Coturnix japonica: one gene and its partners. The protein of the gene in region 1 purifies or fractionates together with the protein of each later gene. This does not show direct contact. Links are inferred from orthologs where the notes say so. Each region holds a gene or a part of one and is shown on either strand. Other genes may lie near its edges.

Region 1 (4,766 bases):
ATTCTTTATATCCTTTCTCTAAGGTCCCTTCCAACCCGCACGAGACTATGATACTATGATGATATTGATCCAATACTCTGTTTTTACCCCGTTTCATTGACAACCACGCTCCACCTGCTGCTTAAAACATAACATACACAAGTTGAAAATCCTAGGGTCAGATCTGTATCAAGAGCACAGGCAGCAGCTCCCTGCAGCCCTCAAGGGGCCTCCGTCCCACCCGCAGCACGGTCAGTTCCTAACTTGGCGTTCACCTTGTGCTCTATCTTCTGCAGCACGGCCGGCAGGTCCAGAACGGAGGCAATGACATAATGAGGCACCGGGGAGGCATCAGCCGGGGCCGCCATCGACTTGTTTAACCACACGGTGGCTCTCAGGCCGGCGTTCAGGCCTCCCTGGATGTCTGTGTCGAGAGAGTCCCCCACCATGACGCACTCTGCCGGCTGCACGCCCAGCAGCTCGCAGCAGTAGTGAAAGATGGACGGCGCGGGCTTCTCCTCCTTCTGCTCGCCTCCCACCACGATGGCGTCGAAGTAGGGCTGGCAGGCACAGGCCTCGATCTTCTCTCGCTGCGTCTGCCGGTCTCCGTTGGTGAGGAGCAGCAGGCGGACGGCTTTGCGCAGCTCGGTCAGCATGTCCCGCGTGTCCTCGGGCAGCGTCAGGTGCCGCAGCCGGGTGGCCTTCCACAAGAAGTAGCACTCTGCGGCCAGGCTGCGGTTGGCTTCACCGCCGACGGTCTCCCGGATCGCCTCCTCCCAGTGCGAGATGCGCAGGTCGGTGATGCACATCTTGGCGGGGTCGTGGCACTCCTTGAGAAGCTTCTCCTGCACTTTGTCGCAGATCCCGCGGGCCTCCCCCTCCCCGTAGTGGTGCTTGGAGCGGAGCGCGTTCACCACCTGCAACACACAGCACAGCACAGCACAGCACAGCACAGCACGGCACGGCACGGCACGGCACAGCACGGCCCGTCCGCACACCGCCGCTCTGCCCCGCCCCGCTCCCTCTCGCTGCCACCCCCGCGTACCTCCTCGATGGCGCAGCGCCCGGCCGCCGCCGTGTCCACCAGCGTGTTGTCCAGGTCGAAGAACACCGCCTTGACGCCGTGCACCCCCATGGTCGCAGCGCGTAGAGCCGTGCGTGGCACACAGCCGAGCCAACACCAAACCCTGTGTCCGCCCCGGCGCTGGGAGGGGCCGCAGTGGGAAGGGAGTTCCGCGGGGCGGGGCCGGGAGCGAAGCCGGGCCTCTAGCGCCTTTATTTTAAAGCTAATAAATAAACTCCTTGAGTTACGTAACTCAGAGTCAGGGCACGAATGGCTGCCAAACGGGCCCTCCGCTCTCTCAGCAAAAACGGCCGTAGGGTTCCGTGCACCGAGCCTGAGCCGAGCTGCCTGTGCCCGCAGATGTAAGGCGGAGCGCTTGTAAGCTGAGCGGTCCGTAGCGCTGCAGGCAGCGCGGTCCGCCACGGCAGGGCGCTGTGAATGAGTCGCAGCCGCCCAGCCCCGCTCCCCGTCCGCCTTTCGCTTTCGTTTCGTGCCGGTGCCCCGATGCTGTGGGAAACGGGGGCGGGGCTCCGTCCGCAGGGCGCTGCGCGGATCCTCGGGCGGTGCGGGACGAAGCTGCGGCGACAGCGGAGGTAACGGCGGCCGTGGGGAGCGGGGCTGGATCGGCCTGCACGGAGTGTTCCCGTTAAGAAGTAACTGTCGCTGAGGCGGACTTCCCAATTCATCTGCTGTTTTGTTCTGTAAGTGTTTGTTTTTCTCTTCCTGTTTCCATCGTGTGTGTAACGGAGACTGACAGCCTCGTAGCCTGAGAGTGTGCGGGCTGCCGTGCCTCGGTTCTGCTCTGAAGGAAGCGGTTTTAATTCTTTATGGAGAAACGTTACTGATTTCTCTCAGATTCCACGCAGTGATTCAACCTCCTGCAGAAATCTGCTGAGAAATCGTCCTTCATCACTAAACGCGCCATTCTGCTTTCACAGAATCACAGAATGACCCGGGTTGGAAGGGACCTCAAGGATCATGTAGTTCCAACCCCCTGCCTGGCAGGGCCACCAAACATACACATTTACTAGATCAGGTTGCCCAGGGCCCCGTCCAACCTGGCCTTGAACACCTCCAAGGACGGGGCATCCACAACCTCCCTGGGCAGCCTGTTCCAGGGCCTAACCACTCTCCTAAACTTTCTGAATCTGTAATCTCAATCTCAGCAGGTTTGGAATAGAGATGCAAGCCAACGACCTGAATGAGAAATCAGAGTTAGTTGCCGTTCTGTCCCTTGTCACAGTGCTACTCCGGCAGAACGGGGCTGTCTCTGTAGCAGTGTGTGAGACTCAGGCACGGCCCTGAATATTTCTCCACAGAATCTTTTGGTGCTCAGATATTGCATTGAGATGGACCGAAAGTATATGAGCTTGGTCAACAACTACTGCCAGAAGAGGAATGCCACGCTCGATTACGTCGAGGTGGAAATGAAAGGCCTACCTCATGACCCCGAGTAAGTTCACCACGCATGCCAATGAACATCAGCACGAGGTTGAACAGAAGTTGATTTGCTTGGAAGTGTGGCAGAGAGCTGCCTGCAAACACGGATGGGTGGGTGCAGGAGGTGTCACTGGGCACATAGGGCCTAAGGGAAACTTAGAGCTCATGGCTGCTTTTGGGAGCACTTGTTGCTGGTGGTCGTATTGCATTGATGCTTTTTTTGTCATGAATTATCTGAGGGGGTGGGTGGATTGCAGACGGTGGTTTGTGATATGTGGTAATTTAAGCGCTTTGGTTTTTATTGAGTTTTACAAAGTAATTTGGTGATTTATATTGTTAATTTCTAAGAGTAAAGGTTGGGTCTACGCTTATTGTTTGGTTACCAACGTGTTTTTGTGTGGCATTTTTGAACATCTGTTACAAGAGAAGGGTCTTAAACTGTTTTGCTTTTGTTTCTAGAGACAAACACAGAGGATGGAATATGTGGAGTTGTTTATTGTTTTAACACAAATGCAATGTCTGATGTCTTGCTTGTCTTTCCCTTACCACAGATCACAGACACCCAATGTCTATAATATCTCCTGCTCTTTATTTGCTAGTTTGCATGAAGACAGATCTTATACTAATAATCAGGATGTTTCTTTTAAATGGTGGTCTCCTGTTGCCAGCCTGCACTCTATGTGCTGACTTATTCTCAGAGTTGACTGTAATCCCTGATCAAATTATCTGTCTCTCAAGCCTTGCTCTACTATCTTTTTTTTCCCCTCCCATGCAATTCATACTTCAAAGGGATTGCATGGGACTAATACAATGTATGTATAAATTCAAATCCAATTCATTTGTCCCCTCCCAACTCCTTGTGCACCCCAGCTTCTGTGCTGGCAGGGCAGAGTGAGAAGCTGAAAAGATTTTGATACACTGCAAACACTGCTCAGCAAAAGCTGCTTTTTCATCAACACTTTTATCATTGCAAATCTAACACACAGTACCATACCAGCTTATATAAAAAAAGATGGCTCCACCCCAAGCTGATTGAGCACAGTCACTCTTGAGTTTCCTGGTCTGACTCACTGTACTGCTGCCTGAGCAGTATGGCATGATTGGTTGTACACCAGAGGTGGGAAGGATCAGTGGCTGAGTGTTCCAGGGTCAGGACTGGTTGCTGATATTATTACAGCAGTGACGGTGGAGAGTTACACTGGAGTCTAGTATTAGACAGCTCAGAGCTTACCGGCCCTTGAGGTCCCTTCCAACCCAGGCCATTCTATGAAGTGACTGGATAATACCATTCTGCATCTCTGATGCATCTCTGTTATTTTTTTGAGATTCAATGTGGCAGAAAGGGACTGCTTTCAAATGTATAATATAGAACAGCAGTGTATGGGAACTCTTGAGTCATGGCCTGAGCCATTGATTAATCACCTGAGTCAAGGACTGGGACAGCTGTGGGAGCACAGGTGAAGGCAATTCAGCTGTGTGACCTAGACCCCATTTATGGGCTGACTACCACAGGGGAATGATCTCTTTCTGGAGATCCCTCCGTTATGGAGTTTTCCACCGTGAGCCCAGATCCTTGGATACTGGTGAGCATTTCTTCCTTGATTCATTTCTTCCTTGACTGTTTCTTTTCCACCATGATAATCTTTCCAACTATAACACCTGCAAAGTACCATCCTAACCATGCTACTCTTCTAACTGTACAAGCAGATGCATTTTTTGTTTTCACTAAGTAGTGCCTGCAGTACTCTCTGAAAGGTGAGTTTAGTGTCATTTCTGGATGCATGAAATCAATTTTAGCTAATCTTTAGCATTTGTGTAGTTTTACGATGCTGAGATGTGTACAGGTACTAGGGCTTCTCAACCTTGTATTGTAACAATGACCACCTTATGCATTCTTTAGTAGTTTTGCTTTTAGAAATGCTAATAGAACTAGTATATATGTGGTTGTGGTCAGGAAGGAGATGGCTTTTTTTTTTTTTTTTTTTGAATCTTTATAGTAAAGGGTTATGATAACCAGGAGTTAGATACAATAAAAACACATGGATGCTCAGATACCTCCACAGGTAATTTAGTGCTTTGAATGTAATACAACTACAGTTTTATCTGAAAGAGTCTTTAAGTATGTATGAGACAAAGCTTACTAATCTTACAGGGAAGTTTTCTTTATTGCAGGTTTACGTTTATGGTTAAAATAGATGGTGAAGAGTATGGTACAGGCATTGCTAAAAGTAAAAAGGAAGCAAAAGCAGCAGCAGCAAAAAGTACGTGGGACATGATTGAGCCA
Region 2 (4,914 bases), on another chromosome or scaffold:
TCCTGTCACTAAGCCTCAGTATGTGTGTTTGGTGTGTAAATCACTGCCTCTAATACACAGGCTTATGCAACACGCGTTTGGGGTGCACTATTAGTGTGTGATTATACCCCCAGCATCTGGGAAGCTGGTTGGGCTCAATCCATCCATTATGTTCTTTGCTCTCAGCTGGTGCCCCAACCCCCTGTGTGGTTTCCAGCTGGTTTCAAAGAATATCTATTTGATACAGCTGATGTTTCAAGATAGTCAGAAATTGATTTCACCCATGCCTTAGAAAAATAAAGTTATTACTTATTTCTCAGCTAAAGGAAGGTTTCATTGCTGAGAAATGGCATTACAAAGTGCTTTCCATTTTGTTTTTCCCTGCCCAGCCCTATGTGACAAGCAAAGCCCCGAACGATGGCTCTAGGGATGATGCTTTGGTAATAGAACCATAGTGTTGCTGTTGGGTGGAAGCCCTCCAACAGCAGCAGTGAGTGCAGAGGGCTTTGCAACCTTTCTGGGCAGCTCCTGGCTGGGAAGCCAAGGTTTTGACACTGCTGCTGCTTGGGGCTTCGGGGCCTGTGGCTGCTGCTCCATAAGGGCAATCAGCTGTAGCAGCTGCCCTCCTCTTCACCACGTGCGTTGCTGCAAGGAACCGTGGTTTGATCGGACATCACGTAATCCGCGTGGACTGAGATGCTGCCATCAGTCGCGTTGATTACATTCAGCCTTCCTCTCACCACTCCTGCCTGGGAGAGGCGAGGGGTCACGCCTTATAGCGAGGCTGTTGTTACACGCGAGGAGGCAGAGCGAGATGAGTAAAACCCAATTCCAAAAGCTGTTCTCCTGTCGTTCCTCACCGCCGGGCAGCGAGCAGGCAACAGCTCCCGGTGCGGCGTCGGGCCGGGCCGGGCTGCCGATAGGGGGCGGGTCAGGGCCAGGGGAAAACGGGAGGCAAGGAGAGGTAAAGCGCTGCGGGGCTGCGCTCGGAGGAGGTGAAAGGCAGCAGCAGCAGCTCGGCGTGTGACAGACAGCTGCCGCTTAGACGGGCGATAACGCAGCTGGAGTAAAAGCTGCTTTTTCACGGGGCTCTCTCCTCTCTTGTGCGCAACTGAAAAAAACGTGAAATTAAAAGGACGGCGGGGGTAGCAGGGCGAGCGCCGGAGCGCTAACACGGCTCAGCCGTCCGCCCGCTGACAACTTGCCGGCGCCGCGCTCTCTGTGCTTATGTCGCTCTCGTACGGCCGCAGGCGGAGCCGGCTCGGCCGCAGCACACGCGGATAGCGGAGCTCCTCGCTCGGGGCCGCGGACGCCGCCGAGTCAGTGACCGGGGCCGCTGTGGCCTCGCACCTGCACGGTGCTGGCAGCGCCCGGTCCGCTCCGCCTCGTCCCTACCCGGGCACTGCAGCCCCGCAGCCGCCGCGCAGAGCCCGACCGAACCGGCCTGAGCGGCGCGGCAGGGAAGCGGGGCGACGGGCCGGCCGCCCCGGTCCCCGCGGCTCGGCTGCCGCTAGAGGCGCTGCGCGGCCTCGCCGGGCCGGGAAGGGATGCGGACGGGGCCATTCGCGCTGCCGGAGCGGGGGGGAGCGAGGCCGCGGAGCGGCGCCGGGAACACGCCGCCGGCGCCGGGGGCCGGCGGGGCGATGGCGGAGCGGCGGGCGAGGCCGGCGGCGGGCAGCGGGGAGAAGGGAGGCGGGACGGCGGCACAACGGGGCCGCTGCGGGAGCGCCGGGGGGAGGGCGGAGTGGTTGGGGCCGGCGGCGGCCGCCGCGGCGGCGGGGTCAGTTCTCTTTAGTGTTTGCCGATGTTAGAGGCGGCTCCGAAGCGTCCCCGGAATCAGGTAACGGGGCCCGCCGGGCTGCCCCGCTCCCCTCCGCAGTGAGGGGAAGGGCGGGCGCGGGGTGGGGGAGCCGAGCCTCGGCCGGAGGGGAGGGGGCTGCCGCAGCCATGATGTCCGGGTTCTCCTCCTCCTCCTCCCCGCTCTCTCCCCTCCCGCCGGCGCGGCGCTGCCCCGAGCAGCGGCTCCGCCGACCCCCGTGCGCCCTCCTGCCGAGGCACCGCTGCGCCACGGCGGGATGGAGGAGGGGGGCGGCGGTGGAGGCGACTCCGCCATCTGCCCCGCGGCCCTCGCCGCCGCCGCCTCCTCCTCCTCCTCCCCCGGGCGCTGGAGCCGGGCAGCGGACGGCCGCTTAGGGCACGCAGGTGGGCACCCCGCCGCAGCCCCCGGTCCGGAGCTGCCCTCGCCTCGGGGCCGGGCGGTTGTGCTGGGCTCGGCGGGGTTGCGGGCCGGGCCTGCCCGGAACAGCGCGGGGAGCCGGTGCGGGCTGAAGCGGTCTCGTTCTCCTTGGCCTGCTGCCCCCTCCCCGCCCCCGGTGTGCCCGCTCCGCACGGCGGGTTCGGAAATTCTTCCTGCGGTTCTTCGTGCTCTCGCACGTCGCCCATCCGTTCGTCTGCGTTAACGTCCACTGCCTTCATTTCATTCACCGTGCTCTTCGCCTGAACTTGGGACAAGGTCCTAAACTTTTGCCAGCAGGACTGCGCCGTCGTGCTCCCAAAATGGATGTCAGTGTTCCTTCCATGAGGCAGCTGGCCGTGCAGTGCTTCCCGGGGGCTCAGCGAGCTCGAAGGCTGTGGGGCTGTGTTTGAGGTGGAGTGGAAGGAGAGGGATGCATTTTGCAACAGGCCGAGGCCCTCCCTGGCCTTCGGGTCTGTGGGAAGAGAAGACTCATCTTGAATGTGATGGGGTCTGGATGGGGCTGCTGGGTGCGTGCCTACAGCTCAGGGCGCTGCCTGCCCAGCCCACGATGCCTAAGAAGCACCTTTCCTGGCAATGCACCCACTCAGCGTTGCCCTGTGGCAGGCGAGCTGTGCCTCTGCCTGCTAAGGAGTGTCCCCTGCGCAACTACTGTAGTAGTGAATAAAGTCTGTTGCACCGAGGAGTGGGTGGAACATCCCTTCTGCTACTCCTCACTGTGCCTCGGTGATTACTGAGGAAATGCGTGTGGATTGCCACAGGGCACAAGTAAAGCGATGGCTCTGGTGGAGCTAGGTGGGGTTGGTTGCACTGTGCTCCTGTGATTGAGTGCAGGTTACTTTGAATCTCACCGATATTACTGCTGCCCAGGAGTAAAGCCTGAGATGTACAGTGACTCCAGGTTGGAAATCTGTTTTCTAAACACAGGGAGATTCCACAAAGGCGTTGTTGTGATGCTGCTGCCTGTAAGAGGTGCCAGGTCTGACAGTTCCCTGAATGAAGCCTTTCTGACATCCAGCAGCACTGTGTGATTCCCAGCACTGACTTCCAATCGTGGATCCTCTGCTTTGCCCTAGAAAAACTCCTGGAGAGGGAGATGCCTGCTCTTGCTGTGCTCACTCAGATTCCGGCTGCTGGAAGCTGGAGTGAGGCTGCTGCTTGGTTGTGGTTTGTGAGGGAGAGTGCAATTCAGGTTTTCCTTGCTTGAAGGAACTTCTTGATGATGTTTGGCTTTGGCAGAGGCCATCCAGTTTGGGTTCTGGTCAGGCTGCAGTTTGGAGGCGGAAGACTTTAGATCTCATTCCCAGGTTCAGCTATAATGTCAGAGTAATAACACCTTTGAATAATCTTCAGTCCTGAGCTGTGAAAGTGGCTTGTAAAAGAGCTCCCTAATTTTACATGTAGGAAAACTTGGTCAGAGGTGTTTCAATGACTTGACCAAGTTTAAAGAGGCAATTAACTCAATCAGCCCCTTCCTTGGGGGCAAATGCCAGAGCTGAGTCTCCCACAGAGGTTTACAAACACAGCTGCATGGCCATCCTGGTGCGTGTTGGTGAAAGCTGGGTGTGTTGGGGTTGTGAGATGCCATGGAATGACCTTGGAAGGTTAGATGATGTGGCAGAGCAGGTCAGCAGTTGCAGTGCTGCTCCTCCAGCCTCTGGGAGGGCTGCACCTGTCGTGCTCTGTCTCTTTGCTTTGACCTGCCTGGAGCACGTGGCTATTGATCTGCTAGTCCTCAAAAAGAAGAGAAGCACTTGGATTGATCATGTCTGGTCCTTCAAAATGCATCCTGTTGCAATATCGTGCAGCGAGGGAAGCAGTCCTTGTAAGGTGTGCGTATGCAGTGCTACTTTCATTGTGTGTTTGTTTCATACATCCATGTAGACGTCTGCATAGATTTCATCCATTGGAGAGCTAAATATCTGCTTCCTCACACCACATGTGGTAGGGAGTACCTAACCTGTGCTCTGTAGCATAACTCTGATAACTTCTGTTAATGAGCTGCCAAAGCTTCACTTCTCTTCCCTTGGCCATATCGATCTCCTATCAGCAGCAGCAACAAAGAGTTCCCTCAGATAGACCTGCCTTTACCAGAACCAATTATGGTACGTTTCTCATCTTTGGATCACACCCACAGCCCGTATTTCTCAAAATAATGCCTGATTTTTCTCCCTCTTCCCCAAAGAGGAAGAAAAAGGAAGGAGGAGGATGCTTTCCTAAAGCACCTATGGGTGCTGTTGCTGGAGTCTGTGTGGTAGAGCCCTTCAGGTGTTCATGCTTCCCAGCCACCCTTCTGCTGGGCTGACCTTGTTGATATCACACTCATGTGAGGATCAAGGTTGTGAGAGCCTGTGTGGAGGTCCTGACCTGAACACTCCTCCTTCCCTGCTTGCTGTTCATTGCCTGCTGCTGCAGTACCTACAAGTTCAGGGGTTCTGTTTGGTACGGGGGCTTATGAGGCATGAAATGAGGGTGCTTAGAAGCAGGCGGGGAAAAGAATGAGGTGCACATCTCTGTGCAGAGAGGAGGGATCTGTGATGGTGTAAGTGTGGGGGGAGCCGAGCTGGTTGGAGCATGTGGCACAACATGAAAAGCGGAGAAGTGGAATCTGTGCATAACAATATAATAAGAGCCAAGTGCCCTGCTCTTAGTGCTCATGTCTGCTCATTGTCAGTGAACAG
Region 3 (4,930 bases), on another chromosome or scaffold:
GCCCACCTGGTATAATAGAACTGCACCCCGTTATCAGCAGGACACACAGGGGTTTCAGTTCTGAGCCTGGGCAGGGTCGCTGCTTTGGAGATGTCAGTAGCAAAACACAGCAGCCAGCAACAAGGAACTGCAAAGCGTTTGTGTTTGAGTCCTGTTCAAATCCATGCTGCTATCACCAGCTCTCCCCTCCGCTCGATGCGCTGCGCTAAATAAGAGATCAGCTGGAGTTACCATGAGTCACCTACCTCCAACATTTAAAACTGGGGGGGGGAGAGGAAAGAAGATGTAAAAGATGTAACCACACAACTCCCACAACGCTGCCGAAAACGAGGGGAGCTGTGGCAAAGAGCCTCTGTGTGAATGTAACTAAGGGAACGAGACGAGGAGAGATCACTTGTAGCTGCGCGGGGCTGTGAGTAGGAGCAGTAACAGCTTTTATTAGCCCAGCTGATAGAGCTGAAGAAAACAAGCAGCAGAGCAGATAACAAACAAGCAGATAAGGAAGCTGTGCATAGGAGCCGCATTTTGCTTTCAGCACTTCTGCAAAGGACCAGGCTGCTTTCAGGTCCAGTGAAACAAAGCCTGAATTGGCCAAACCCACCTTTTGCCTCCCATATTTTCCCATATTTTCCAGCTTTGAGATCCAAGCTTTGAGTTTGCAAACGCTCTGGCAGTGAAGGTGACCCCCTGACAATGGCCGTTCCCCAGGCCCATGTTTAGGGATATCCTTGAAGATCCCCAGCTCGTGCTTATTTGTCATGTCCCCCCTCGTCCATCACTTTGATGAATCAGAAAGCAATTACCCACAGAATCATCCTCAATCCTGACACCGCAGCTCCAGACCTGCCAGAGCTGCGACAGCTTGAAAAATGCTTCAAAAACGGAGCCAACAAATGAATGACTCTCATTGCCGATGGGTTTTTTGGAGCCGTTTGAGATTCAGGCTGGAGTGTGGGAAACAACCACCCCCCATTTCCCCCCATTCACAGGGATGGACACGGTGCTGCCCCTCCCCCCCCCCCCCCCCCCCCCCCCCCACCGGGGGGGGCCCCCCCCCCCCCCCCCCCCCCCCCCCCCCCCCCCATATATACACACAGGGACACACAGCGGACGGGCAGCACGGGGCGGTGCGGGGCCAACAGCCGGGCCGGGCCCCGCCGGTACCGCCCCAGGGCTGAGGCCTATAGGGCTGACCGCAAGGGAAAAGGCCCCGCGGGACACGGCCGGGCCCGGGACCTGCTGGGATCTACCGGGATCCACCGGGATCTACCGGGATCTACCGGGACCCCGCACGCCGCCCCCATCCCATCCCATCCCACCCATTGCCGCCCCGCACCGCGGGTCTCTTACCCGCACTCAACTTGGCGGAGAAGGCCTCATTGCCCTCAATCAAGATGGCGGCGTCGGCGTCGCGTCACGTGGGAGGCAGGAAGGCGTGGCCGTGCGATGCGGGTGGCGCCATGTCGTGTGCGGGCGGCGCGGCCTAAAGGAGCGGGGGAGCGGAGCTGAGGCCTCCATTGGAGCCCCTCGGGTACAGCCGGGATGGATGGCTTATTTACTGCTTGAGTTCACACGGTGCAATAACATAACGGTGTCCACTAATTGAGTTGCGGTCTTCCAGCCTTGAATCAGCAGCCGTTCAAGTCCCCCCTCCCTGCTTGCAGCGATCCCGGCGACAAATGGCGGCGCCGCACAGCCCCCTACGCTGCCCTCAACAAACATGGCCGCCGCCGCTTCGCCCCACCAACACGTGCTGCACACGGCGCTCCCGCGGGAAGCCGCTCTCGCGAGAGCGACCGGGGCGGCCAAGATGGCGGACGGGGCGGGTAGCAACGGGGACGCCGCGGCGCTGCCGGTGGGGAAGGAGGCAGGTGAGGGACACGGGGCGGGGAGCGGAACCGAGGCGGCACCGGGGGAGGATGGGGCTGAGATCGGTGTGTGCTGTGTTGTTTGTGTTGTGTTGGCAGTGGAGCGGCTGATACGGGAGAACGGGCACATCTTCACCGAGGCGCAGTGCAAGGTGTGCAGCGCGCTGCTCATCTCCGAGTCACAGCGACTGGCGCATTACCAGGTGAGGGGGGGAACGGGGGGTATTAATGGGTAACAATGGGTATCTATGGGTATCAATAGGTAGCAATGGGTATTAATGGGTAACGATGGGTAACGGGGGGCAGCAATGGTATCAGTGGGCATCAATGTGTAGCAATGGGTATCAGTGGGTATTAATGGGTAGCAATGGGTATCAGTGAGTAGCAATGGGTATCAGTGAGTAGCAATGGGTATCAGTGGGTAGCAATGCATAACAATGGGTAGCAATAGGAATCAATGGGTAGCAGTGGGTATCAATGGGTAGCAATAGGTTTCAATGGGTATCTATGAGTAGCAATGGGTAGCAATGGGTATCAATTAGTAGCAGTGGGTAGCAATGGGTATCAATGGGTAGCAATAGGTTGCAATAGGTAGCAATGGGTAACGCTGTGGCTGCCCGCAGAGCAAGAAACACGCCAACAAGGTGCGGAGGTATCTCTCCATCCACGGCGAAGAGGAGCTGGCACCTGGGAAGAAGATGAAGCTGGACGCCAAGGTGAGAGGGGAGCCTGTGCTGTGTGGGTGTGGGCTCCAAGAACAGCTTTTGGGAAGGGCTCTGTGGTTAAGCCCTGTTGGTGAGTACGGCTCCTGTTGCCTTTCCCTCCTAAAGAACCACATGCTGCTTCTTTCTGAAGGGCCCTCCAAGAAGAGCAGAGAAGCAAGGAGCTGTCAGTGTTATCACAGCATGTATAACGTTTTGTTTCACTGACAGCATATCACAGGGTTCCTGCTTCACCACACTTCTCTTTAAGTCATGGGTTGTTGGGTTTTTTTTTTTGCACTTTTTTTAGTTTTATTTCATCTTCTTGGTCATTAAGGGGTTTATTCACCAGCCGTCTGCTCCATGACTCGTTTGGGAAATAGATTCTACTTCTGTCATTGCTTTGGTTGTAGTCCCTGACCCTCATAGATTTGTTGCATGGATGGAAGGGAGATGAAGGAGGTTGCCTTCATGCATTGTGAGGCCTAGCAGTGACTGCCACTGTCTGCCCAGCTGGCGTTTCTTTGCTGATGGCCCAGCTGATAGCGCTGTTTGTGCTCCTTCACTCACACCTTAGGGAGCAGGGGGCAGATTGGTTCATGCTGCCCTGCAGTTAGCCTTGTTCTGGGCTCAGAACCTGTAGTGTTTCACTAAAAGACTGAGGAAAAGAGAATCTGAAGTGGGAACACTTCTGCTGAAGGAGCGGAATGGAAGTCTTATTCAAACAACTTCACATTCAGCATCTCTGATGATTCAGTTCCTTGAATGCCTTAGAGTTCCTCGTTGTAACAAACTTTTCCTAACCTCAGCCGTTCTGTGTGCACAGGAGAGCAAGCAGGAAGGCACCAATGGGGAGGACAGGAACAAGTGTTGTCCCATCTGTAACATGACCTTTTCTTCTCCTGCTGTGGCCACATCTCACTACCTGGGGAAGACTCATGCCAAGAACTTGAAGCAACAGTCCCCTAAAGTGGAAGGTGTGTCTGTCCTGCAGTGCCTTTGTGTTGTGAAGCTCAAAGTAGGAAAATGCTGCACGTAATTACTTTCCATTGGGAGGTGCTATTGGACATATGTCATCCTTGTTACATCTGTGTGGTGTTGGCTGTGAAGCAGGGAAAGCCAGCAGCCTGCCTCCAGATCCATGGCCTTTATCAACAACGTGCTTGGTAGAATGGCTTGGCTAAATGCTCCTGCATGCAAGAAATGGGACAGAGCCCATTGCTGTGAGATTAATTTGTCAGGCCTGCTCAGCTACAGGGTTGTAGCTTCTGTGGTTCGGCGACTTCTGAGCTGCAAACAGCCGGAGGCTGGGAAGTGGGACTGTGTGCTTGCCCTGACCTCGTGCTTTGCCTCCGCTTTCTGCCACGGCCCATTCTCAAGGCAGGGTCTGGCTGTGAGGAGCCTTCAAGAAGGGAGGCTGCACACATAGTTCTGCTGTCTGCTGCTGCCCTGTGAGAGGAGCCTGCAGGTGTTTAGCTCCTCTCTGCTGTTTGTGCCCCCTGCTGGGAGTTGTCTTACCTTGTGCCTTCCAGTTCTGGAGCAATAAGGGAGGAGGTTGGAGCAACACGGATTTATCCAGAGGTCTTACATCCTCTGACTGGGTTTCTTTTTGGGGCTGTTTTATGGTTTTGGGGTTGAGTTGGGTTGGTTTCTTTGGTTGTTTAATGCATGTTTGGGGGAAATAAAATTACCTTTTTTCGTTTTTTTGTTTTTTGGGTTTTTTTTCTATTTAACTGACCAAGAGTTTGGATTCATCCTACAGAAGTGGTGCCCCCACAGAAACATCCCGCTACCCTCCCCACCTCTACTGTATCCTCTAATGAAGAGAACAAGGACATTACAGACCCAGACAAGTTCTGTAGCCTCTGCCACGCTACTTTCAACAACCCCCTTATGGCAAAACAACATTATGTAGGTAAGAAACACAGAAAGCAAGAAACCAAACACAAGCTGATGGCACGCTATGGCCGAACTCCTGACGCACCGACATCGTCCTTCCTCGGTGAGTTCACAGCAGACAGGTTGGTAAGGAGCTGGAGAGCAGGGTGGGAGAGCAGCACTGTGCATCTGACAGGACTCTGAATGAGGGGTTCTGTGTGGAGGGAGTAGGGGAGAATTGCTTGTCATGAGGATCTTGATGATGTCTCACAAGACTGATCTGGTTGGTATTGTAATGCCTTGGCAGCAGGAGAGGTTTTTAGACTGTAGCTGCTCGTGAGGAGCTTTGAGTTGTGTTTTGCAATGTTGTCTCATCAAGTACGTGTCCTTTTTATTCTCTGTGAAGATAATCCAGGGATTTTGGCCAGTGCTGTTTCCAGCTAGGTGGATTGCATCCAAAATGGAAAGATAAAAGTGGCATTT

The links.
Region 2: the proteins of EIF2AK2 (region 1) and STAU2 purify together in Homo sapiens (affinity purification with mass spectrometry; 3 studies listed by BioGRID and IntAct, with this or other methods). This does not show direct contact. The link is inferred for Coturnix japonica from reciprocal best matches to the Homo sapiens genes EIF2AK2 and STAU2.
Region 3: the proteins of EIF2AK2 (region 1) and ZNF346 purify together in Homo sapiens (affinity purification with mass spectrometry; 3 studies listed by BioGRID and IntAct, with this or other methods). This does not show direct contact. The link is inferred for Coturnix japonica from reciprocal best matches to the Homo sapiens genes EIF2AK2 and ZNF346.

The regions. Positions count from the first base shown.
Region 1 is NC_029518.1:28,765,520-28,770,285, forward strand, and holds the start of EIF2AK2 (interferon-induced, double-stranded RNA-activated protein kinase), read left to right. Parts: upstream 1-1,596; 5' UTR 1,597-1,743; intron 1,744-2,361; 5' UTR 2,362-2,391; coding exon 2,392-2,495; intron 2,496-2,941; exon of another isoform or gene 2,942-4,065; intron 4,066-4,082; exon of another isoform or gene 4,083-4,237; intron 4,238-4,654; coding exon 4,655-4,766. Other genes in the region: NANP (N-acylneuraminate-9-phosphatase), read right to left, coding at 201-896, 1,025-1,114.
Region 2 is NC_029517.1:106,907,583-106,912,496, reverse strand, and holds the start of STAU2 (double-stranded RNA-binding protein Staufen homolog 2), read left to right. Parts: upstream 1-1,689; 5' UTR 1,690-1,819; intron 1,820-4,914. UniProt on the Homo sapiens protein: RNA-binding protein required for the microtubule-dependent transport of neuronal RNA from the cell body to the dendrite.
Region 3 is NC_029528.1:12,089,981-12,094,910, reverse strand, and holds the start of ZNF346 (zinc finger protein 346), read left to right. Parts: upstream 1-1,705; 5' UTR 1,706-1,720; coding exon 1,721-1,871; intron 1,872-1,967; coding exon 1,968-2,071; intron 2,072-2,491; coding exon 2,492-2,584; intron 2,585-3,395; coding exon 3,396-3,546; intron 3,547-4,331; coding exon 4,332-4,571; intron 4,572-4,930.